Linked DNA regions of Neurospora crassa OR74A. The protein of the gene in region 1 interacts with the protein of each later gene in a biochemical or structural test. Links are inferred from orthologs where the notes say so. Each region holds a gene or a part of one and is shown in the gene's direction. Other genes may lie near its edges.

Region 1 (8,292 bases):
CTCCTCGGACGGACCTAGCAAGAGCTTTGCCTTCAGACGTCTTCAGTACCTCGAGAAGCGGTTCGACCTTTATGTGCTTTTGGAAGGATACGATGAGACGGCCGACTGCAAGAAGGTGCCCCATCGTGATTTCTATAACGTCAGAAAGGTTGACACCCACGTTCACCACTCGGCCTGCATGAACCAGAAGCATCTCTTGCGTTTTATCAAGAGTAAGATCAAGAAGTATCCGGACGAGATTGTGCTTTACAGAGATGGCAAGTACTTGACGCTAGCGGAGGTATTCGAGAGTCTCAACCTCACAGCGTACGATCTCAGTATCGACACGCTGGATATGCATGCTCACACGGATTCGTTCCACCGCTTCGACAAGTTCAACCTCAAGTATAACCCAATCGGCGAGTCGCGTTTGCGTACCATCTTCCTCAAGACCGATAACTTTATCAACGGACGCTACCTGGCCGAAATCACCAAGGAAGTCATTGCGGATCTGGAGTCTAGCAAATACCAGATGGTTGAGTGGCGTGTGTCTATTTACGGCAAGTCCCTCGATGAGTGGGACAAGCTTGCCAGCTGGGTTGTCGACAACAAGCTGTTCTCTCACAACGTCCGCTGGCTCGTCCAGATTCCTCGCCTTTACGATGTCTACAAAGCTAGTGGCGGCGTAAACACGTTTGAGGAAATTGTCAGGAACATCTTCGAGCCCTTGTTCGAGGTCACTAAGGATCCCTCCAGCCACCCCAAGCTGCACATCTTCCTGCAGAGAGTCATTGGTTTGGACAGTGTCGACGATGAAAGCAAGGTCGAGCGACGACTGTTCAGGAAGTTCCCCGTCCCTAAGATTTGGGACGGCAAGCAGAACCCTCCTTACAGCTACTGGATCTATTACCTGTATGCGAACATGGCCTCGCTTAACCATTGGCGCAAGAGGCGTGGGTTCAACACTTTTGTCCTCCGTCCCCATTGCGGTGAAGCGGGTGACAGCGAGCATCTTGCCGTCGCTGCTCTGTGCTGCCACAGCATCAGCCACGGTCTTCTCTTGCGCAAGGTTCCTGTCTTGCAATACGTCTTTTACCTTGAAAAAATTGGTATTGCCATGTCGCCATTGAGCAACAACGCGTTGTTCTTGGCATACGAGAGAAACCCGATGCACCAATACTTCAAGCGTGGCCTCAACGTGTCGCTCTCCACGGATGATCCTCTCCAGTTTGCGTTCACCAAGGAGCCGCTTATCGAGGAGTATGCGGTGGCGGCGCAGATCTACAAGCTCAGCCCCGTGGATATGTGCGAGCTTGCAAAGAACTCTGTGAAGCAGAGTGGTTACGAGCGTTCGATCAAGGAGCAGTGGCTGGGCAAGAACTTTGACTTACCAGGAGCCCAGGGCAATACCATGGTCAAGACCAACGTGCCTGACCGCAGAGAGGAGTTCCGCTATAGAACTCTACTTGAGGAAAGGGGAATGTAAGTTTATGTACTTCCGTCGACCCTGTGGACGACTGCTGACAAGTGAATAAATACAGGGTTGAAAGATACAATGCCCTCGCAGCCGAATCGGCGGCAGCTGTTGCCCAAGCAGCCCCCAAATCTCCGGCGCCGCCTGCGAAGGCTATCATTGGGGAGGCGAAGACACCGCTCAACACCAGCACTTTGCAGCCCGCTCCGCACGGGGGAAACGACTCCCTTTCACAGTCCCAGACCCTTCCCAGCCCCATGCAGCAGTCGCCTCAGCTGGGACTCCCCAGTGCCGCGCTCGAAGGAACAGGAACCGCCACTGGTCTCACCGACTCGATGAGGGAGCTGCATCTCCCCGAGCACGAACCTAGGTATTTCCCCGGGGTGATGTCGCGCAGCCAGGGGCGCAAGACCAGCACCCGACAGAGTTCGTTGCATGAGAGCGATGCTAAGCCGTAGGTGGCTGACATCACCTCATCTGGAGAATTCGTCGGCGAGGTGGAGATGATGAGAAGGAAGGACACACCGAGCGTGATTGTGATGGAGGATTATATGGAGGACATGCAGCCTCCAGAAGCTACGGTGGGGATGGCGCAGGAGGTGGGGAGTACGCCTGTGCAAGACTGTCCTGACTGTTTGGAGGTGGTATGTGAGTGAGTGAGTGAGTGAAGGGCATCTTCGTTGAAGATATTAGACATTGGGCCATTCTGGGTCTGGACTGGCTGGGTAATGCAAGTGGTACTGGTATCTGGAGTCATGCTATATAGACTTGACAGAATATTGAACCGAGTTCAGAGGGTGATTCGATCGATATAGGTATAATCTACGTTGAACTGGCGTTTAGACTTTTGGTCAGGGTATCTCCACCAAGAAAAAGGGGGTCGACAATAGTTGCTACTAGCTTGTATTGATGATTACGTTACCGTACGCGAGGGAGTTACGACGAAACAAATGCAATTCAGGGGGCGTATAAATAACATCGACACCCGCTGAACGGCTCCCATGCCCAGCGGACCCCGACCTGAAATGAACGATCCACCAAGCGCCCAAATGTCAAGAGGGAAAACCCGGGATATGACGCTATCTACACGTGCGGTTACAGTAGATCGCTGATGAATGCCCGGGTTTGCCGGTCGGGACCAGCTGGCTGCTGTTTCTTGATTGATTGATGGGAAAGTTGGGCGTGAAGAAGAGCCCAAGTTGACTGTCACAATTAAGCCACAATTACGGCCAATCAATAGATACTGTGTAACAAAGTGAAAGTTGCGCTTTCGAGGTACTTATTCAGGTGCTATGCCGTACCAGCAGCGCTCGAGATGCGGCTGGGCTGTGCTTGCTCCTGCACGATCTCACTCTTTCGGGTTCAATTTGGACAAGAATCCTTCGTTCCTGCGCCAGTACCTTGCTTCGATGTTGTTGGTCGGTCATTGGGGTTGACCTGAACCCTCGAAATGCGCTGCGGTTATTCCAAATAAAAGCTAGGTACATACACCTCCAGCGCTGGGAGGTTACGTACCTGTTCTTGGGGTTTCAAATTGTAAGGTACGAACAAGGTGTTCATTTGTCCTCGGGTCAATAGTGCACTTCCTACCTACGCTTGATTTGATCTCGAATGGATTTTCCGTGGACATTGCAATTACATAAATATACATTTTGGTGATAGCATCCATGAAGATCGCGGTGTCTTCGCGACCGCTTCGTTGCATCGTCTAAATTCCCCCAAATTCAGCGAACCCCCCCACCCCCCCGAACACACACCCCCCGGACCGGCTCCTTTAAACGAGCACTTGGGTCCACGACTTGGACATAGAGTAATTTCCAACGTCTCCCTTGGCTCGACCATTTCGACCGCAACTCCAGACTCTTGATCACGATAAAGGTCAAATTCCTCGCAGGGTCACCGCAGCCGCGCGTGCTCGCTGTCGTCGACATCTTCCCGACGTTCCCTCGCTCGAAATTACAGGCTACCTATCCGTAGGTACCATACAGGAGGGCCTTGGCCGGCCGCAATCCTACGCGCAAGCGGGCATACCTACAGTGCTTGCTTCAGCGGCTACCCCTTGCTTCAGGAGCACCCGTACACTCTAGAAGAGCTTCCATCCTCGTTCACCTTCTGCCCGGCAGCCGCAGCGCCGCACCCCCGTCACCCGTCACCAACCCAGCGTCACCCGCTCTCACACGCTGCTGCCGCCGCCGCCGCCGCCGCTCGCTCCTTGATTCCATTTCCTACCGGACACACACACACCCCCCCTTCCCCGGCAGAACCAAGACTTGTGATACCACACCACCAGCCACCATTCGCACCACGGCGCCTTTCGTTTTCCCCAATTCCTTTCTTCGCAACAGCAACTCCCTTGCGTCGGTTCATGTCGGCTGCCATCCAAAGGGCATCATACGAGCAGATTTCCCGCAGCAGCCATGGGCTTCCTCGGCGTCTATAGGGCCATTTACGATTACACGCCCCAGGGCGAGGGCGAGTTGACAATCTCCGAGGGCGACATTCTCTATGTGTTGGAAAAGAGTCAGGAGGACGATTGGTGGAAGGCGAAGAAGAAGGCCAATGCTGCCGACGATGACGAGCCCGTCGGCTTGATCCCCAACAACTACATTGAGGAGGTATGTAATGTGGTCCGAGGTCTAGATCTGGATTGCGTGCAGTGTCATCTGGGCACTTGTACCTGCTTGGAGGATAGCAAGCTGGCTGGCCTTGGCATTCAGATGGATCACTTGAACTGACCGCGCACACCATGACGCCAGGCGAAACCCGTATCATACGCTCGCGCGCTCTACGAGTACACGCGTCAGACCGACGAAGAGCTCTCCTTCCCCGAGGATGCGCAGCTCTCAGTCTTCGACACTTCCGACCCCGATTGGATCCTTGTTGGCCACGATGGCGACTACGGCTTCGCGCCCGCCAACTACATCGAGTTGGGCGATGGCCAGGCTGGCCAGGTCGAGGAGGAGGAAGAAGCGACTGCCCCCCCTCCTCCTCTTCCGCAGAGGACACCCAGCGTCAGCGTCGATGTAGCCAGCCCGCCCCTGCCCGCCAGGAGTGTGCCCTCCGAGCCAAGCACCCCTGTCGCCGCTTCCAACCCTGCTGCCGCCGCCATCGCCGGAGTTATGGCCAACCGCTCTTCTTTCCAACCTCCAGCGCCTATCAGTGTTCCCCAGCCCCAGCGACAGTCATACGCTTCGGAAGATTACGAAAATGAGGTAAGGTCCCCGCCGCTTCCGAGCCGCCCGCGGGGCGATTCGCAAATTGCTCCGGAGCAAAAATCCTACAGACCGGTGCCGCCGCCCGCTCAGTCAGCAGCCCACGACACCGACGACTATGGCATTAGCCCGCGAACCTCCCAGGCTCCTCCTCCTCAGACCGCCGCGCTTACCCCTGGCGGTTTCCACATGTACAACATCAACGAGATGACGTCGGTGATGGGCAAGAAGAAGAAGATGCCTACCACGCTGGGCATCAACCTGAGGACGGGAATGATTCTCATAGCGCCGGAACATTCCCACGACGGTCCATCGCAGGAATGGCGGGCCGATTGCATGACACACTACTCTCGGGAGGGCAAGCACGTGTTTATGGAGCTCGTACGACCAAGCAAGAGCGTTGACTTTCATGCGGGCGCCAAGGACACCGCTGAAGAGATCGTCGCGATGCTGGGCGACATGGCCGGAACTGTGCGCCTCGAGGGACTCAAGGAGATCATTGCCGCGGGAGCCGGAGGCAAGAAGAAGAAGGGTGCTGTGCTGTATGATTTTATGGCTCAGGGTGAGGACGAGGTTACTGTCGGCGTTGGTGATGAGGTAGTTATTCTCGACGATACCAAGAGTGACGAGTGGTGGATGGTGCGTCGCGTCAAGAACGGCAAGGAGGGTGTGGTTCCCAGCAGCTACATTGAGATCAACGGCGTGTGGGAAGAGCCGGAGACGGCCGTTACCGGTATTGCCGTGGGCATGTCGGAAGTCGAGAAGAACCGCCTGGAAGAGGCGCGCTTAACCAAGGAGGCTATCAAGGCTGCCCAGCGCGAGGAAGAGAAGGAGAAGCAGAAGAGGAACTCTGAGGTAGGCCCAGGATTGCAATTGCAAGAACGAAATAGTAGTTTGCCGGCCACAGATGATAACAGGAGAGGAAAACAGCGAAGCAGTAGGCGCGAACCCGGTCAGAACAGCAGCTCCAAGTCGTCAAGCAAGTCGAGTAAGTACACCCATGTCCAGATTTTCTTTCAGAGTATGCAGAATACTGACAGTTTGTCGCAGAGCCCGATCCTTCCAAAGTGCGAACATGGACCGATCGATCCAAGTCCTTCAGCGTTGAGGCCCAGTTCCTCGGTGTCAAGGATGGCAAGATCAGGCTCCACAAGATGAACGGTGTGCAGATCGCCGTGCCCGTCTCGAAGATGTCAGTTGAGGATCTCGAGTACGTGGAGCGCGTAACTGGCGAATCTCTCGACGAAGACAAGCCCCTATCCGATCTTAGGAACAAGCGATCCGCCGGTGAGTCTTCGAGGTCTAGTCGATCGACGCGCGACAGGGAAAGAGACCGTGGTTCCAGCTCCCGGGTTGGCGCCACCATCGATTCCTCGAAGAAGCCCGACTACGACTGGTTTAACTTCTTCCTTGGTTGTGACATACAGGTTGGTTTGTGCGAACGGTATTCTCAAGCTTTCCTGCGGGAGGCTATCGACGAAAGTGTCTTGCCAGATGTTGATGCTACTGTGCTGAGGAACTTGGGCTTGCGTGAAGGTGATATTATCAAGGTCATGCGGTACCTGGACAACAAGTACATGCGGAACAAGAAAGGCGAAGAGGGCGAGGGAGGACTCTTCTCTGGGCCAGGAGGTGCGCTCCGCAACAACACGAAGAAGGGCAGGCCGGCGCCCCCCGTCGAGGTCAGCAACACCGTTGATCCCAACGCTTTCTCTAAGGACTCGGGTGCTGGTAGTGGCAAGTCATCATCTCCTACGGCTGCGGCTACGCCAACACCGTCTGCCTCGAAGCCTTCCAGTGGCTTTGATGATGATGCTTGGGATGTCAAGCCTACCAAGACGAAAACCCCTGAGCCGGCTGCGCAAGCCGTTGCTCCCGCTCCTGCGGCGGCACCCGCTGCCGCTCCAGCCCCTGCTGCGCCAGCTCTGGTTGACGCGCCGGCCCCCCCTCCGCCGGCGGCTCTTACCAAGTCGATGCAGGAGTTGTCGTTGCTTACCCAGCCTTTGGAACCCGAGAAGGTCGCTCCTCCGCCAGTTGTGCAACCGGCCATCACGTTGCCTCCGCCCTCCGCGGCTCCAGCTCCGGCTGCTGCTGCTCCTGCACAGGTCCCTCAGCTTACCGGCGCCACTCCCGGCTTCTTCACCGGTATGCAACCTCCTGCTGTTGGTGCACAGATCCTTCCTCAAAACATTGCCCGTCAAAGACCTCTTGCTCCTCAGTTCACTGCGGCCCCGGGTGGTCTTGTTGCTCCACCTCCATCTCGCCCCCTCTCGGCGCCTCAGTCCGCTCAACCCAGCGCCTTCACGCCACCCCCTATCCAGCCTCAGATGACCGGTTTCCAGGCACCCCAGATTGCTCCTCCTGGCCAGAGCCTCGGCGATCTCGCCCAGCAACGTCTTCAGCAGCAGTACACCGCCCAGATGCAGGCCCAGCAACAACAGATGCAACAGCCTATGATGACGGGCATGCAACCTATGATGACGGGCATGCAGCCCCAGCAGACCGGCTTCGGCCAATTCCCCCCTCAACAACAACCCTTCATGCCCCAGCCTACCGGCTTTGGTATGCAGCAGCAACAACAACCCATGATGACAGGCATGCAGCCCCAGCAAACCGGCTTCGGTCAATTCCCTCAACAACAGCCGCAACCCTTTATGCCCCAGCCGACCGGTTACGGTCACGTCGGTGGTGGACTGCCGCCTCCTCTCCAGCCTCAGGCTACGGGCATGAGCTTCACTCAGGGCTTTGGAAACGGACCCCAGCAGCATCAGCAGCCGTTGGTGCCGCAGCAGACGGGGCCGGCGCCGCCTGTGAGGTTCGGTATTAGTGGTGATGCGAAGAAACTGGCGCCGCAGGCGACGGGGAGGAGAGCCAACTTGGCTGCTGCTAGTAAGTTTTGCCCGCATAAAAGGCATGTCTTGTTGTAGTAAAAGGAAATGTGCTAACAGTTTCCTAGCTCCCGATAACCCGTTCGGTTTCTAAGCTTTCTCCATACAATTCATGTAGGCTTTGTCGGATTCTTGTGAGTGGTTGAGCGTGCAGTGGTTGGGTTTAGTTTTGTTGCTTGGTTGGGGCTGGTTGTTAATAGACTGTGCGGACTACCCAAGAAATGGGTGATGCAGAGCGAGGTGAATCTGGAGTGAAGAAGAGAACTCGGTGAAAGGAAACGCAAATGCGAGCGGAATTGGGAAGGTTGGTTGGTGGTAAGTTCCATGGTGGGAAAGGTACCTAGTGAGGTGTGAGGTGTGGTGCAAAGCATTAGCGAGTTCTCCGAGACAAACAAACACAATTAGACACACGCCGACGAAACAGAAGGAGAAGAGGAAGAAGAGGCAGTAGAAGCAGTAGAAGCAGCAGCAGCACCGCGGATCGCATAGCATCGTTGCAATCTTTTTTTTTATAATAAGATGGATAACTTTTTAATATGATAATTACTAAGATGGATTGTCAAGTTTCGGGTTACCTCCGTCTTCTTGGATGTGAATGAAAACTCTCAAAAGTCCCAACAAAGTTGCCACGTATGTATGTATCAAACGACGGCACTTGCTTCTTCTTCTATTCTTACCATACCGATGGTGGATAAACTTGAACGTATCGTTACGATTGTACTTGATGTGACTGTGACGG
Region 2 (6,245 bases), about 7.9 Mb from region 1:
TTGTATGTATGTACTAATGGCGGTCCCTGAGTGGTTCCCTCCAGTCGGAGTCAAGATCCAATGCTCCGTCTTGTCGGTTTGATGCGCTGTTCGTGGGAGGTTTTAGCAGCTGTCATTCAGTGTGCCTGCCGCCGCATACCTACACTAGTAAACGACGCGTGACCACCCCCAGGCGACGTCATTGTCTTACACCCTCTCTTTTAGGCCCCTTGTACGTGGTACGACGACTACAGGTTTCTTCCTATTTATTCCCTTTTGCTCATCCATCGTTTTCTTTTATAAAAGAGACCCTTCTCGACCTTCAAAACCTTCCACTTCTACACCTTACCCATCTTCCTGCAAGACGATATCGAAAAAGTTGATCAAGACTCCTCTCAGTTGTCTCACTACGACCCACTCCTCACGAACCATCAAGACAAGTCATAACATCAAGACCATCACAATGGCCGGCGGCGACGATCTCAGCAAGAAGGAAGTCAACATTCTTCCCCACGACACCCAGAAGGACGAGCAAGTACGTTACCATTTCCTCCCTAGTCTGGTGCCTTGTGTGAATCACAGAAAACAGAAAACTGACTCTTTGGCCAAACAAATAGAAGAACCCCAACAACCCCCTCAACAAGCTCGCTGATAGTGCCAAGGCCACGTTCGAGCAGGCGTCAAAGGCCATGCCCGGTCCCGCCATCTCGCAGAACATCGGCGGCGAGGAGGGCACCAAGGAGGAGCGCAGGGCCAAGGCCGAGACGCTCAACAAGTAAAGATATGGACTCGGACAAACAGGGGAATGGATGGAATGATTGCAATGACTGAATGATACACACACATACACATAACATAATTGAACTGTTTTGACAATTACTCTGATGGATCAGTCCTGTTGGAGCCTAAAGTGACTTTGGTGGTGGAATTGCGCCCAAATGAGAGGGGTCTGGTCCTCGAAAGTTGTCTCAAATGGGAGCAATGTTAGCATGTGAAGGTAGGTAGGTACTTTCATGTCATCCCATGTTCGTACATACCTACACTACTTTCATCCTATATCAACCTGAGCCATATAACCTCCAAATGCACATGGAAGTTGTTGTCATTGCCAGTTTCAACATGTCCCTCAAACACCCAGCTCTCGGAGGAACCGTCTCGTTGGACATCCATCATCACGGCGGGCAAGCGAAAGGTCGGCTGTGCAAGCGGCGGGCGGGAATAGTGGAGGGGTTCAGTTGAGGGATAGGTACCCACTGTTAGTGGACACGGACAATTGACGCCCTATCCACCCCCGGCACAATGTCATGACGCTATCTGGTTCATGTCCACAAGTTGGTCGCTTCCCGTCGGAAATTGGTCATTGTGGCTTGCTGGGGTTTCGTTGCCATCCTGATTCCATTCAGTCAAAGCCAAACAGCCCGGTCGTTGCCGCCGCCGTAGTGATGCAACTCCCAATCCCCGTACATAGTGTAGTTAAGTAGTGTACACTCACTGCATGCCTAAGGAACCTCTTGCCAGGTACACCCGCAATTCAACTTCCTTCTTGTCTACCTTGCAATGGGACTTGCTCCTCTCTCTGTAGTCTGTACAGCTTTAATACATTGAATTTTCACGGCAGATTATAACTAAGCTTGCCAACTGAAGGCTGCTGGATCATTGTCCGAGGTACGTTATTCCCAGCCTGCCGCCGTCTCTTCTACTCAGTATCTGCTTTTGCTCCTTTCAGTCATTGGACATCCGGGCGGCCGAGTCTTCCTTATTCCTCCCACCAACCACCAAACATCCGTGCCTCCAATACCCAGACCTACCTCTAGCTAACCGGCAACTTCCATTGTCTCTTCTAGGCTTCCGTCAACTGCTTTTATTCCTACGCGGCAAGGCCACGGAAGCGCGGAGCTTTACTTTATCTTGTACCGACAAGATACTTGGCCGTCGATAACAAGCGCCAACGACCCGAAAAGCATTAATACGACATCCCACTTCCGACTTGCTACCTCACCCTTCGGTCGACGTTGCCCCCCTCCCCTCGCCGACCGACCCGCCGACCGGATCAAGGCACGACGACTCAGCTTCATAACAGTACCTCTCGGCGCTGCGCCCGCCGGCCGAGTCCTTCTACCGAATTTCCGCATAACGACTCCCAATCTATCCATGCTTTGCTCCCCCTGGACGATCTAAAGGGGACGACAGGCCGCAACCTACCTCAAGCCACTTCCACGCTTCCACCCCCCATATATATTCACGATGCCGTCCATCCTCAGCGACGACGACAAGGAAACGGTCAAGCGCTGCGTGCCCAAGCAGACCAACAAGATCCACGCCGTCGCCGTCGCCAGGCTCTATGTAGCCTACCCCAACCCGTCCAGATGGACCTATACCGGCCTCCAGGGTGCCGTCGTTCTGGCAAATGATCTCGTGGGCAACACATATTGGATCAAGATGGTTGATATCTCGGTAAGTGTGAAAATGACGATTGCGTGGCTGGCCACCATTTGGCTGACATCGGACAGCCCGGAAACAGGGGAGTGATATGGGACCAGGAGATCTTCGACACTTGGAACTACAACCAGGACCGTGTCTTCTTCCATACCTTCGAGCTTGAGGAATGCCTGGCTGGCTTGTCCTTCGTGGACGAGAAGGAAGCCAAGCAGTTCCTCAAGAAGATGAACGACAGGGAAAAGAACGCCAGCAAGGCTACCAGCAAGACACCTTTCGGAGGCGCATCCCAGGCACACCACCACAAGCACCACGGTCTTTTCGGCGGTCTGTTTGGAGGACATAAGCACGCGTCTCCGACAGCCACCCCGCCCGAGTCGCCACGTGCCGCTGCACCGGCAGGCCGTATGAGAGCTGGAAGCACTAATGGAATAAACGGATACAAGCCTCCTTCCGAGTTTGCGACCCTGGATGCTTTCGATCCCCTGTGGAGGGAACACTTCGGTGACGACCTCAAGGCCCAAGGCCTCGACGACGACTTCATCCGCGAAAACCAGGACTTTATCATTGAGTTCTTGAAACAGGAGCAAGCGAAGCAGGGTATACACACGAGCACTCCTCCGCCGCCGCCGCCGCCGCCATCCGCTCCTCCTAATGGTCCCGCAATGAGAGCTCCCCCACCACCTCCTCCTGCTGCTGCTCCGCGCAGTGTCTCCGAGTCGATAACTCCATCGACCTCTAGGAGAGGGCCAGTACCCCCGCCTCCCCCTCCAGCAAGGAGATCCGGCAAGCTCGACACGGAAAACCACCAGGAACCGGCCCCTCCGCCGAGATTTGCTGTTCCTCCTCCCATCGCCGATGCTGGCAAGTTTGCCCACTCTGATCCCCCGCGACATACGCCCTCTGCGCCTGGACCTCCACCACCTCCCCGGCCGCCGAAGACGCCACTCGAAGATCAGGACCCGAGCCAGAGGTTCAGCGTTCCTCCGCCATTCACAGGCCAACGAAGTGTACCCCCGCCGCCTCCCAGCCGTAGCTCTGTTCCTCCGCCACCGCCCCCGAGAAATTCAGCTGCGCAACCTCCTCTGCCTCCCAAGGCACCGGGACCAGCACCTCCCCTCCCGCCTGCGAGCTCACGGCCGCCCCCCATGTTGCCAACTAGAAGCCCGGCACCACCGCAGGCACCGCCTCTCCCGACCTCGAACGCGCCACCTCCGCCGCCTTTACCGGCCACCCAGGCGCCTCCACCACCTCCCCTTCCCGCAACCAGCGCGCCTCCTCCGCCACCACCGGCACCGCCAGCACCTCCGGCGCCCCCTCTACCCGCAGCACATGCTCCCCCGCCGCCGCCTCCCATGCCACCCATGCCCGCACCATCAGGCGGCGCACCGCCTCCGCCTCCGCCTCCTCCACCGGGTGGTATGGGTGGTGTCCCTCCCCCTCCTCCTCCCCCTCCTCCAGGTGGTATGCCTCCACCGCCCGCCCCTGCCTTGCCACCTGTTGACGGCAGTCGTTCGGCCGTGTTGGACGGCATCAAGACCGCGGGAGGTATCAGGGCGTTGAAGAAGGTAGACAGAAGCCAGATTCGCGATCGTTCCGGTGCTGCTGTTCCTGGTGGCTCCGATAGTGGGCCCGCAAGCAGTGGATTGCCGCCCGCTGGAGCTGCGCCGGGTGGCGGTGGTGGAATGGCGGATGCGTTGGCGTTGGCGTTGCAGAAGAGAAAGGAGAAGGTTAGCAAGAGTGGTAAGTATCTGGATTATCCCTGGCTTGTGAAGTGTGAGAGCATGTCGAGAATGATGCTAACACTGGTGGAAAAACAGATGATGAAGATGATGGTGATGATTGGGACTAAGTGCCCGATACCAACAATGACACGGTGAAGAGCCACCGGAAAACAACAAGGTTCCAAGTAGGAGAAGAGTGCAAAAGGAATGAAAAGCAAGACTGGAGAGACACCGATATCCAACCATCATCCATTCATCTGGTCGTTATTTGGCCATAGAGGAGATGATGACGGCGAGGATGGGCCGTTGCTGGAACAGGAGGAGGAAGAAGAAGAAGGAGAGGAAGGGGAAGAGGAAAGCTGAGGGGTGGAAGGAAGGAAGGAATGAAAGAAAGGATGCAGTGTCGTTGCATACTATATATATATATATAGCTTCACCGTATTTGGAAATATTCACACCTCGTCACTGGTGTTTAACAAGAAAACAAAAGAAATGCAAAATTATACTTTTTTTTTCCACTTTCAGAAATACTATACCAGCTTTTTATTCTCTGTTTCCCATCTTAACTTGATACTCTTCAAAGACAGCGGCGAGTGCCTGAAGAGGTTTCATTGATATATATGTATCTTGAAGATTACTTACTTACTTACCTACCTACCTAGGACTGTTTGACAGTGTTTTGTATTGGAAAAAAGGAAAATACTCGGTCGCGTGACTACAGTAGTTGCCGCTTTCAACAATTTCAATGTTCCTGAGTCCCGAGTTTCTTATGCTGCTGCTTTCCGAGAGCTACCTACGGACCAGTAATTACTTCGTCACTTGGGTTTGGTTTAGTCTCATAGAAACAATTTGAATAAGGGGGAGACGGACAGCTCCGAAACATCGTAGAAGAAGTGTTGGTCATATATCGAACAACTGGACCAGGATAAGCATAAATAGTGAAGAGTAGGACATCTCGGCGGTTCTCTTCTAGTGAGGTTGATGGAATGTTGTTACAAGCAAGACTTTTACTGGGCGGTGCGGGCGGGTCTTGCAAGGAGCAAGAAGAGGAACGAAAAATGATATATGTACATAGCCGGATGGGGACTTGAGCGAGGAGGGGATGAAGAGGTGCTGTTTAACACATGTTGCGTCTTGTCCTCGAGTAGAACAAGGACGTGCTTTGGCTCTTACAGGGTCACATTCCAGTGACCGACAGACACATCTCGCGTGAACCGAGAAGCCTAGTAATGTGTGATCGTACCAAAATACCATTTCCTAGCTCGAGAGAGGGAAAAAAAAAAAGAAAAAGAAACCAGACATGAGAGAGCCCCCTAAAAGAACATAAAAGACGTTTATGACAAAGCCATCCTATCATAAAAACAGCCTAACCCCTTTTAATATCCCAGAGTGCACGTAACCATCCTCTTTTCATTGCGGATGGATCGATGCTCTTTATGTCCTTCGCCCCCCCTTTTTTTAACTTTTTTACTCTGCCAGCCTTCCTCCTTCGTTCTGCCTGGTTGTAGGACCTCGAGTCCCGCAAACCAACTAACCGGACCCAGGTAAATGACGTCCCTCCCACCATTGTACCTGGCTCCGATTCTCCTCCTCCTGATTTTGTTCGTAAGATTTGTTTCTTGTCTTGTTACCGGAAAAACAAGGAAATAATAGGCACACCAAACTGTCGGGGAACCAAACTGGCTGCTGCTGTTAACGGTTATGGTTGATGGGTTGAAAAAAAAACGTGGGCTGGCTGCGTACGGCCGACACACACCGAAAACAGAGACCACCAGAATGGTTTGAGAGAGAAGACAGCTTTTTTGGACTTTCCTGGACGACCCCTTTACTTCCTGGCCAGACCCTTTGGGGATACCGACTTGGAGAGAAGGACGTAAAAGGGAGTGGATAGGAAGAAGGGGGAAGTTGGGAAAGGGTGGCGTTATTTCGCATGTTTCGGTAACAATTTGGTGTTTGTTGCCTCTTTTCCTCTTAGGTGCCGAGAAGAATGAGGCGACGATATGGTGTTGAGAAGGCAACGACACGTTTAGATGTCGTCGATATCAACGGCCTTGCCACCGGCCTCGGCGCCATCCTCCTCCTCGGAGTCACGGTCCTCGTCGAACT
Region 3 (4,195 bases), about 6.7 Mb from region 1:
AGCTGATCAAGAACGCCAACGTTTTCGCCGGCGCCATCGCTGATGTGTGCAGTAACACCAAGGGTCTCGTTCGCCTCGCTACTGACGAGAAGAAGGGAGACTCTTTGATCAACGGTGCTCGTTCATCTGCCCATTCGACAGTCAAGTTCTTCCGTGGTCTGTTGAGCTTCCGCCTTGAGGGCATGGATCCACTTCAGAAGACCGACGTTGTCATCAACAGCAATAACGATGTCCAGATCAACCTGCAAAAGCTGAACAAGCTTGTCGAGACCTTCGCTCCTGGCTTTGGCCAGCTCGCTAACAAGGGTGACCTTGGCGACATCGTCGATCAAGAACTCAGCAGGGCAGCCGATGCCATTGCTGCTGCCGTTGCCCGTTTGCAGAAGCTCAAGAACAAACCTCGCGATGGATATACTACCTACGAACTCAAGGTCCACGACTCAATCCTCGATGCCGCCATGGCCATTACCACCGCTATCGCGCAGCTCATCAAGGCTGCCACCGCTACACAGCAGGAGATTGTGCAAGCTGGTCGTGGCTCGTCTTCGCGCACCGCCTTTTACAAGAAGAACAACAGATGGACCGAGGGTCTTATTTCCGCCGCCAAGGCTGTTGCCAACTCTACCAGCACTCTCATCGAGACTGCTGACGGTGTTCTTTCCAACCGCAACAGCCCTGAGCAGCTCATCGTTGCATCTAATAATGTTGCGGCCTCCACCGCCCAGCTCGTGGCTGCCAGCCGTGTGAAGGCCGGCTTCATGAGCAAGAACCAGGAGAGCCTGGAGGAGGCCAGCAAGGCTGTCGGTGCCGCCTGCCGTGCGCTCGTCAGACAAGTCCAGAGCATGATCAAGGACCGCAGTGCCGAGGATGAGCAAGTGGACTACAGCAAGCTTGGGTCGCACGAGTTCAAGGTGCGCGAGATGGAGCAACAGGTACGTGATTCCTTCGAGATTTCCTTCCTCTTTCATTTCCGGTACCCTTGGTCTTGCCTATTATGGTTCATTGCTGACCAATTCATTCTCTCCCCATCACAGGTCGAAATCCTTCAACTCGAAAACGCATTGAATGCTGCTCGCCACAGACTTGGCGAGATGCGCAAGATTTCGTACCAACAGGATGAGGACTGATTGTCCCGCAACACATGGGGTTGTTGAGGTAGTATACTCGGTGGCTTCATTCATCTCGCTGGCTTTACGCTTCAATGCGCAGCGTGGGCACATGCATCCGACCAGATCCCCTCCCTCATTCTGTTTTCGTCCCGCAGCGTCTTCCAAAATCTTCATCAGATGTTTTATATTTCAACTACCCCCTCTGTACCTAGCTCGAATTCCTTTGGGAGTCATCAGGTGTTAGTGTTAAACTCAGTTTCATCCACCTTGTTCTTTTTCATCCACTGAAGTCGTCAATTGGCCGTCGTAACTTCGGCCTCGGATATGTTCCGTTCGCTCTTCGCGCGGGTGTTTGGTAACACAGGCAAACCGCCACTCCCGCTGTCATACTGCTGGCATCCGTCGTGTTTCTTTTATGGCGATGTACATCCTTTTTTTGTGGTTTCGATTTTCGCGTTCGCTGCTCGCTGCTCGCTCGATCGGTCGGTCTGCCAGAAAGTTTACCAGATACGTCAAGAGTGAGTAGGCGACCAAATTTCGTGCTTTGTGCTGCTGAATATCACCCCTTTTCCGCCTCCTCTTCCCCTTCCCCTGTCACGTCAGTCCTTCAGCCCTCGGCTGTCCAATTTCCCTACGTCTGCTTATACGGCCCATTTCACTCCCTCTCTTCGCTTTTTTGTCGCAGCCCGTTCGTTGTCTCGTCATCGGTGGCTGCTTTCGTTCGTGCAGCAAGATTCAGAACGAGAAAATCTCTGGTGGAGGGAGTTCAAGTTCCGTTTCCTTCCTATCGCCTGGTCCATTATGCTGTTTTCTCTTTTTCTTTTCGTTCCCCACGTCAGCTTGAAAGTCTGGTCTCTGTCTCCCTCTTGACTTGCATTTCCTAGTTCTTCCCATTCTGGCAGGCCAAGCTAAAGTCGAACCATCACACTCTCCTGCTTCCCTCTCCGGTCGGTTGGCGTTCACGTTGTTATGCTATTAAAGTGCTCCTGCGGAGTCGTCGTTGTCGTACCAACCAATAGCTTGGATGACGGGTAATTGGATGTACCAGTGCCAAGTATTGGATCCGCTGGTGTTTGCTGCGGGCAGATGGTTGTGATGTCCATGAGCTGTACAATAAGAAGAGATGTATGGGAGAGCAGGGCAGCGTGGGGCTGCGTTGGGCAAGCAATTGCATTCTTCCATGGCGTTTATAGGTTGGGACCTGCAGCAAAATATTCAAGGGTATACTTTTTGGGGGGGGAGCCTCTTCAGGTCGTTTACGGGTCTTGGTCGAGATATAGTATAGCCTACAGCGTCCTTGGGTTTGGGATTCTTACGTAGACTTCAATACCTACATTGGTCAATATGCGAATGAAAGCGAATCAAGCCTCAGCTTAGATAGTTTGTATTTGGTATGTCGCGCTGTTCTACGCTCTAGGTATGTACCGATGTTGCCGAGCACCAGCGCCTGCTTACCTTTACGCAACTGCAGAAGTGAGCTTCGCTCGTGCAGGCAGGACGACACTGCCACCTTATTATTTATCCCGCCTAGTAAACGGTAGGCATTAAACTTGGCAATTGTAACCTCGGACCTCCCAACCTACCCATGTACCTGCAGAAGTGAGCTTCGCTCGTGTAGGCAGGATGATATTACAACCTTAGTATTCATCCCGCCTGGTAAACGGTAGGCATCAAACTTGGCAACCGTAACCTCGGACCTCCCAACCTACCTATGTACCTGCAGAAGTGAGCTTCGCTCGTATAGGCAGGATGATATTACAACCTTAGTATTCATCCCGCCTGGTAAACGGTAGGCATTAAACTTGGAAACCGTGTGCCCTCGGACCTCCCAACCTACCTATGTACTTGCAGAAGTGAGCTTTACCGGTACTCGTACAGAAAGGATGACTGGTCACAAAGGATGAATGCAATCAGATAGGAAACCCGACCCGGGCCCTCCCAACAGGTACTTAAACTACTGTATCCCCCCTCTCAAATTCTTCTCCCAACATATAACCAAACATTGATGATTATATCATAGTGTCGACCCCGAGGATCTCATGCTTACTGCCTGCTTAGCCGCTTCCCGCAAGAAGAAGGGTATTGATACCATCGACAAGGCTTTCCTCAAGTCCCTCAAGTACTACCCCCGCGCCAAGTCCGTTCTCTCCAAGTACAAGGTTCTCCAGTTCCACCCCTTCGACCCCGTCTCCAAGAAGGTCGTCGCCGTCGTCACAAGGCTTTCCTCAAGTCCCTCAAGTACTACCCCCGCGCCAAGTCCATTCTCTCCAAGTACAAGGTTCTCCAGTTCCACCCCTTCGACCCCGTCTCCAAGAAGGTCGTCGCCGTCGTCGAGTCTCCCCAGGGTGAGCGCATCACTTGCGTCAAGGGTGCCCCTCGTTTTGAAGACTGTCGAGGAGGACCACCCCATCTCTGAGGAGGTTGACCAGGCCTACAAGAACAAGGTTGCTGAGTTCGCTACCCGTGGTTTCCGTTCTCTTGGTGTTGCCCGCAAGCGTGGCAAAATTTCTATCAAGTATTCCAGGTATGTTTCTCGCTTACTATTCAACTCTCTACTTTCCGGTCACTCTAATTCCTTTCTCATATACTGATAAATATTCTAGGATGAAGATCACCGAGTCAGTAGCCCTTGAGGTTGACAACCACAACTTCCCAACCCAGACAGTCATTCCAGCCATTATTGGATGGGTTGTCATTGGGTACATGTGGTTCTGGTATCGATCGATAAATATTTGGGTTCATTGGAATGGAGCTATCGATACGTTTACCCACTACACAGAAAACCAACAAAGAACCCGGATCGCAGCATATTGCCTGATACCTCTGATGTTTGTTGGAATATGGCCTCTCGATTTGTTTGGCTGTATCATTTGCTACGTATCGAAAGCGATCAATAACGAACAAGGACTTCCGAGGACCTTACCAATTGCGGAAACCCTAAACACAACTCCGACGAACCCAAATGTACAACACCCTGACCCTCCCCCACCTTACAATGGCGTTGGGGCGAAGTGTGCTCGTCCATGAATCACTTTGCCGATCGTGACGTTGAGCGTGGTGTTTGGCGAGGAGGTTGTAGTGATGTT
Region 4 (6,155 bases), about 6.0 Mb from region 1:
GGTCATCACCACCAGCGATGTTGGTCTGGAGCGCCTCGTCGCGCAATTCGGCCTCGTTCTCCTCTGCTTCCTTCTCTCTTTGCATATCCAATTTCCTCGAAAGACCCTCGATGTTGGCGGCTGTGAGCTTCTCCTCTCTATCCTCTTCGTCATCCTCATCGTCAGAGAAGACGAATGCCTCCTTCTTGGTAGCACCGTCCTGGTCGGAATCGTAAACCGAGTCGTCGTCAGTGCCGAGGAAATCGTCTCCTAGCTTTTGAACGTCCATCTCATCGCCGTCGATATCAAGGCCCTCCAGGTCGGACGCGCCAAACTCGTCGTCCATCTCCTCGTCATGATCGGGCGAAGGCTGCTTTGCCTTCTTAGGCTTCTTGGACTCCTTGGACCTGTGGGCGGGCTTTGTGCCAGTCTTCTTCACCTCCTTGACCTCTTTCTTGGCGCCCTTGACTGCGACAGTGTTGGAGCCGGATGTCTTGGGCTGCTTCTTGACAATCTTCTGCTTCTTGGATCTTCTAGTGTCGACTTCGGTCGTGGTTTCGTCAAAGGGAATGCCCTTCTTGCGCTTGAGGTTGGCGAAGTGCTCCTCCGAGAGGGGCTCAGGAGGGCCCTGTTTCTGCATGCGACGTCCGACACCCATTTTGATGGTATTGCTGGTCGTCTGGTGGTGATTGGGATGTTGTTGGGGTTGGTTTGAACACTGATAGCCCACCATCGACAGGCGCTTGTGGATATTTCTCCGGGTCGATTTTCTTTTCTGAAAAAGCTTATCGATAGCAATGCCAAGTCTCTTTCCTCAAATCGGGTTCCACCTCACTGCGGTCCCAAAAGGTGAGCCATTGGTCAGTGCCCCACATTAGTCAAGCTGGGCCAAGTTCGGAATCCCTGTAGCAACAGCTGACGCTACCCCTGGAGCTGGGCTGTTCTGGAGTAGGGAACAGCTGCCCCTGGAGCCCGGCATGAACGGCGCCCCCGGAGGCAGGCGGCCTGGAGGTATAAGGTACCTAGAGGTAGGAAATGGAAGGACCGTCTGACGGACCTCGCAGGAGAGGCGATCAATGCGGGCAAAGGAAAGTAGAAGGATGACGGGATGAGGGCGGGCAACCTGGACCGGGCGGACAGCTTGAAGCGAAGGGGGCAGGCAGGCCTCCCGGGCAGGCGCCTGCCGCCTGGTCTAGGCGCACCCGACGCAGGGGGAAGCACTGAATGGAGCCGGCGCCGGTGGGCGGTGGACGCCCCGGCCGCGAGGTCCCGTGTTAACACATCACTCAAAAGCAGGCAGGTAACCTGAGAGGTACTAGAGGTACCTTCCGTCTGCGCTGAACAGTTGCGGCATGTACAAACACACTGGACAGCTGGAGAGGCATCTCACCTCAGCACCTTCCATCTTTCCTGCTGTATCTTTCATCTCTCACGGTACTAACTTCCCGTAACAAACGACGTCTCCTCTTGCTGCTTTGCATCCTTCAACAACCGCGATTCTTCTCTATTCTTTCTGCTGGAGCATTGAAGTGAGGTGACATCGAGGTACCTGCTCGCCTTTACTTTACGTATCTGTAACTGAGCGGCAAATCGCGACTCACCTCTCACCCACAGTTTGGCGGCGGGTTTTACTGCGTACCTGCCTTCTGGACCTTGCGTTAATCCTTCCACCTCCAACCTCCTACCTACCTCTACCTACCTGATTCATCCGTCCTCTTTCCCCCTCCCCATTTCTCGGGAGCTCGGTCATTTTCCCCCCAAAGTACAACCAACCACCACCACCACCGCCTCCTTTCACGTCGCCGCCATTCCATTCAGTCCACGGAGCTTCACGAGCCTCCATTTCCCCAATCTTTCTACTTCCCAGCGGATTCACCTTCCAGCCGCTTTTGATAAGTTGGCTGCTAATCTTCGTCACTCTGCGCGCAGCTTAGCGCAACACCACCGCCCATCATGGCTCAGGCCCTACCCATCAAATTCCAGGAGCTGCTGCAACTCAGCGCCCTCGGCATCAACCAGACTGCCATCACTTTCAATACCTGTGTACGTTGTCCTCACCTTGCTCTGACTCTGCTAGTGACAGTTGTCGCGCCTCCTCTGGCACCCCTGCTGACGTGAACCCCCCGCTCCCAGACTCTAGAATCGGACAACTGGGTGTGTATTCGCGACAAGAAGGACGAGGCAGCGTCCCCTGAAGTCATCATCGTCGATCTCAAGAACGGCAATAATGTTATCCGACGTCCCATCAAGGCCGACAGTGCCATAATGCACTGGACGCGCCAAGTAATTGCCCTCAAGGCCCAGGCGCGCACACTCCAGATTTTCGACCTCGAAAACAAGGCCAAGCTCAAGTCGACAAACATGAGCGAGGATGTCTTGTTCTGGAAGTGGGTTAGCGAGACCACGCTTGGCTTGATCACAGATGGCTCTGTTTACCATTGGGATGTCTTCGACCCGAACCAGCCCGCTCCGGTCAAGGTCTTCGATCGTAATGCTAATCTCCAGGGCAACCAAATAATTAATTATCGGACCAGCGCCGACGGAAAGTGGATGGTTGTTGTCGGTATCTCACAACAGCAGGGCCGCGTTGTTGGCGCCATGCAGCTCTATTCCAAAGACCGCGGTATCAGCCAGGCTATTGAGGGTCATGCCGCTGCTTTTGGCACCCTCCGACTAGAGGGCGCCCCGGAGGACACCAAGGTGTTTACCTTTGCGGTCCGCACCGCCGTCGGCGCGAAGCTCCACATTGTCGAGGTCGACCATCCCGAAACAAACCCCGTCTTCCCCAAGAAGGCCGTGGACGTCTTCTTCCCTCCCGAGGCCAGCAATGACTTCCCCGTCGCCCTCCAGGTTTCGCAAAAGTACGGCATCATCTACCTTATCACCAAGTACGGTTTCATCCACCTCTACGACCTCGAGACTGCCACATGTATCTTCATGAACCGCATCTCAAGCGATACTATCTTCACTGCTTGCGGTGACAAGGATTCGACCGGCGTCATTGGCATCAACCGCAAGGGACAGGTTCTCTTCGTCAGCGCCGATGAGAACACAATCGTTCCTTACGTCCTTGAGGCACACGGCAATGAGCTCGCTATCAAGTTGGCTTCTCGTGCAGGGCTCCCAGGCGCCGATAACCTCTACCAGCAACGCTTCGAGCAACTCTTCAGCAATGGCAACTACCAAGAGGCCGCCAAGGTGGCTGCCAACTCTCCTCGAGGTTTCCTTCGCACTCCTCAGACCATCGAGCGCTTCAAGCGTCTTCCACAGCAGCCTGGACAGATGTCGCATATCTTGCAGTACTTTGGTATGCTTCTAGACAAGGGTTCGCTGAACGAGCATGAGACCATTGAGCTTGCCCAACCCGTTCTCGCTCAGAACCGCAAACAGCTATTGCAGAAGTGGCTCAGCGAGAACAAGCTCGAGTGCTCTGAGAGACTTGGTGACATGGTCCGGCCCCACGACATTAACATGGCGCTTGCCATCTATTTGAAGGCCAACGCTCCTCACAAGGTTGTTGCTGGGTTTGCCGAGACTGGCCAGTTTGAGAAGATTCTGCCCTACTGCGGTCAAGCCAACTACCAGCCTGACTTTATTCAGCTTCTCCACCACATTGTCCGTGTCAATGCTGAGAAGGGTGCCGAGTTTGCCACGACGCTTGCCAATCACGAAGGCGGCCCGCTGGTCGACTTCGAGAAGGTGGTTGACATCTTCCAGTCTCAAGGAATGATCCAGCAAGCAACTGCTTTCCTTCTTGACGCTCTGAAGGATAACAAGCCCGAGCATGCCCACCTTCAGACTCGTCTATTGGAGATGAACCTCGTCAACGCCCCCCAGGTTGCTGACGCCATTCTTGGCAACGACATGTTCTCCCACTTTGACAAGGCGCACATTGCGAACCTCTGCGAGCAAGCAGGTCTTTTGCAGAAGGCCCTGGAGCTCTATGAGGATCCTGCGTCCATCAAGCGGGTTATTGTCAACATCCCTGGAATGCCTAACTACAACCCCGAGTGGTTGATTGAGTATTTCAAGGCGCTGTCTGTTGAGCAATCGCTTGACTGCCTGGACGCCATGATGAAGCACAATATTCGCCAGAATCTCCAGACTGTCGTTCAAGTCGCAACCAAGTATGCGGAGCTCCTCGGCGCGCAGCAATTGATTGATCTCTTTGAGAAGTACAAGACTGCTGAAGGTCTTTACTACTTCCTTGCCAGTGTCGTCAATGTCACCGAGGACCCCGAAGTCGTATTCAAGTACATTGAGGCTGCCACCAAGATGGGACAAATTCGCGAGGTTGAGCGTATCTGCCGCGACAACAGCGTTTACAACCCCGAGAAGGTGAAGAACTTCCTCAAGGAGGCCAAGCTCAGCGAGATGCTTCCTTTGATGGTTGTCTGCGATCGCTTCAACTTTGTTCATGACCTGGTTCTCTACCTGTACCAGCACCAGCAGTTCAAGTCCATTGAGATTTACGTGCAGCAGGTCAACCCGAGCAGGACTCCTGGTGTCATCGGAGGACTGCTCGATGTGGACTGTGATGAAAGCATCATCAGGAATCTCCTAAGCACGGTCAACCCCGCATCTATCCCTATCGATGAGCTGGTGCAGGAGGTTGAGACTCGTAACCGCCTTAAGCTACTCCTGCCCTTCCTGGAGGCTACCCTCGCTGCCGGTAACCAGCAGCAGGCTGTTTACAACGCTCTCGCCAAGATATACATTGACTCCAACAACAACCCAGAGAAGTTCCTCAAGGAGAACGATCAGTATGATACCCTCACTGTTGGAAAGTACTGCGAGAAGCGTGATCCCAACTTGGCCTATATTGCCTATCGCAAGGGCCAGAATGATCTCGAACTCGTGAACATCACCAACGAGAACCAGATGTACAAGGCTCAGGCGAGGTATCTTTTGGAGCGCGCTGATAGGGAACTTTGGATGTTTGTGCTCAGCGAGAACAACGTTCACCGCCGTTCTGTCGTAGACCAAGTCATCTCGACGGCCGTTCCTGAGTCGACTGATCCCGCCAAGGTTTCCGAGGCTGTTACGTGCTTCCTGAACGCCGACTTGCCTGGCGAGCTTATTGAGCTGCTGGAGAAGATTGTCCTGGAGCCGTCGCCTTTCAGCGACAACCAGAACCTGCAGAACTTGCTTATCTTCACTGCCGCCAAGGCTGACAAGGCCCGTGTGATGGACTACATTCACAAGCTCGACAACTTCGCCGCCGACGAGATTGCTAATGTTTGTATTGAGGTTGGCCTGCACGAGGAAGCCTTTGAGGTCTACAAGAAGATTGACAACAAGGAGGCCGCTGTCAATGTTCTTGTTGAGCACGTCGTTAGCATTGACCGTGCTCAAGCATACGCCGAGGAGGTTGATATTCCTCAGGTTTGGAGCAAAGTTGCCAAGGCTCAGCTTGATGGTCTCCGCGTCAGCGATTCCATTGAATCTTACATCAAGGCCGAGGATCCGAAGAACTACGAGGAAGTGATCGAGGTTGCCGTTGCTGCTGGAAAGAACGAAGAGCTCATCAAGTACCTCCGTATGGCCCGCAAGACCCTTCGGGAGCCTGTCATTGACACTGCTCTTGCTTTCTGCTACGCCCGCCTCGATCAACTTCCTGAGCTTGAAGAGTTCCTGCGTGCTACCAATGTTGCCAATGTTGAGGAGTCTGGTGACAAGGCGTACGCCGAGGGCTTCTTTGAGGCGGCCAAAATCTTCTACACCAGCATTTCCAACTGGGCTAAGCTGGCCACTACTCTTGTCCACCTGTCCGACTACCAGGCGGCTGTGGACTGCGCCCGCAAGGCCAACAACATCAAGGTGTGGAAGGAGGTCCACGAGGCCTGCGTCAACAAGAAGGAGTTCCGTCTTGCTCAGATTTGCGGTCTCAACCTTATTGTTGATGCTGAGCAACTCCAGGCTCTTGTCAAGCAGTACGAGACAAACGGCTACTTTGATGAGCTCATCAGCTTGCTCGAGCAGGGTCTTGGATTGGAGCGCGCCCACATGGGAATGTTCACCGAGTTGGGTATTGCGCTGTCTAAATACCACCCCGAGCGCCTTATGGAGCACCTCAAACTCTTTTGGAGCAGAATGAACCTCCCCAAGATGATCCGTGCTTGCGAGGAAGCCAACTTGTGGCCTGAGCTGGTCTTCTGCTACTACCACTACGATGA

What was found. The genes of interacting proteins can lie anywhere in the genome.
Region 2: the proteins of NCU02978 (region 1) and NCU07438 form a complex in vitro, tested with the Saccharomyces cerevisiae proteins (2 studies listed by BioGRID, with this or other methods). The link is inferred for Neurospora crassa OR74A from reciprocal best matches to the Saccharomyces cerevisiae genes SLA1 and LAS17.
Region 3: the proteins of NCU02978 (region 1) and eat-2 form a complex in vitro, tested with the Saccharomyces cerevisiae proteins (2 studies listed by BioGRID). The link is inferred for Neurospora crassa OR74A from reciprocal best matches to the Saccharomyces cerevisiae genes SLA1 and SLA2.
Region 4: the proteins of NCU02978 (region 1) and NCU02510 form a complex in vitro, tested with the Saccharomyces cerevisiae proteins (2 studies listed by BioGRID). The link is inferred for Neurospora crassa OR74A from reciprocal best matches to the Saccharomyces cerevisiae genes SLA1 and CHC1.

Annotation. Positions count from the first base shown.
Region 1 is NC_026501.1:8,517,511-8,525,802, forward strand, and holds NCU02978 (cytoskeleton assembly control protein SLA1p), read left to right. Parts: upstream 1-3,870; coding exon 3,871-4,068; intron 4,069-4,209; coding exon 4,210-5,653; intron 5,654-5,715; coding exon 5,716-7,554; intron 7,555-7,621; coding exon 7,622-7,647; 3' UTR 7,648-8,104; downstream 8,105-8,292. Other genes in the region: NCU02979 (AMP deaminase), read left to right, coding at 1-1,461, 1,521-1,911. UniProt on the Saccharomyces cerevisiae protein: Component of the PAN1 actin cytoskeleton-regulatory complex required for the internalization of endosomes during actin-coupled endocytosis. The complex links the site of endocytosis to the cell membrane-associated actin cytoskeleton.
Region 2 is NC_026501.1:624,930-631,174, forward strand, and holds NCU07438 (WASP-like protein las17p), read left to right. Parts: upstream 1-1,422; 5' UTR 1,423-1,644; intron 1,645-1,823; 5' UTR 1,824-2,223; coding exon 2,224-2,433; intron 2,434-2,489; coding exon 2,490-4,158; intron 4,159-4,235; coding exon 4,236-4,267; 3' UTR 4,268-4,658; downstream 4,659-6,245. Other genes in the region: NCU07439 (hypothetical protein), read left to right, coding at 443-514, 597-758; NCU07437 (eukaryotic translation initiation factor 1A), read right to left, coding at 6,166-6,245.
Region 3 is NC_026501.1:1,866,029-1,870,223, reverse strand, and holds the end of eat-2 (cytoskeleton assembly control protein Sla2), read left to right. Parts: coding exon 1-932; intron 933-1,034; coding exon 1,035-1,127; 3' UTR 1,128-1,672; downstream 1,673-4,195. Other genes in the region: NCU01957 (AR2), read left to right, coding at 3,014-3,054, 3,130-3,633, 3,713-4,136. UniProt on the Saccharomyces cerevisiae protein: Required for cellular morphogenesis and polarization of the cortical cytoskeleton. It might act in concert with proteins such as CDC42 and CDC43 to limit the region of cortical patch formation to the cortex of the bud.
Region 4 is NC_026501.1:2,560,656-2,566,810, reverse strand, and holds the start of NCU02510 (clathrin heavy chain), read left to right. Parts: upstream 1-1,332; 5' UTR 1,333-1,932; coding exon 1,933-2,022; intron 2,023-2,112; coding exon 2,113-6,155. Other genes in the region: NCU02511 (S-adenosylmethionine-dependent methyltransferase superfamily domain-containing protein), read right to left, coding at 1-712. UniProt on the Saccharomyces cerevisiae protein: Clathrin is the major protein of the polyhedral coat of coated pits and vesicles. In yeast, it is involved in the retention of proteins in an intracellular membrane compartment, presumably the trans-Golgi.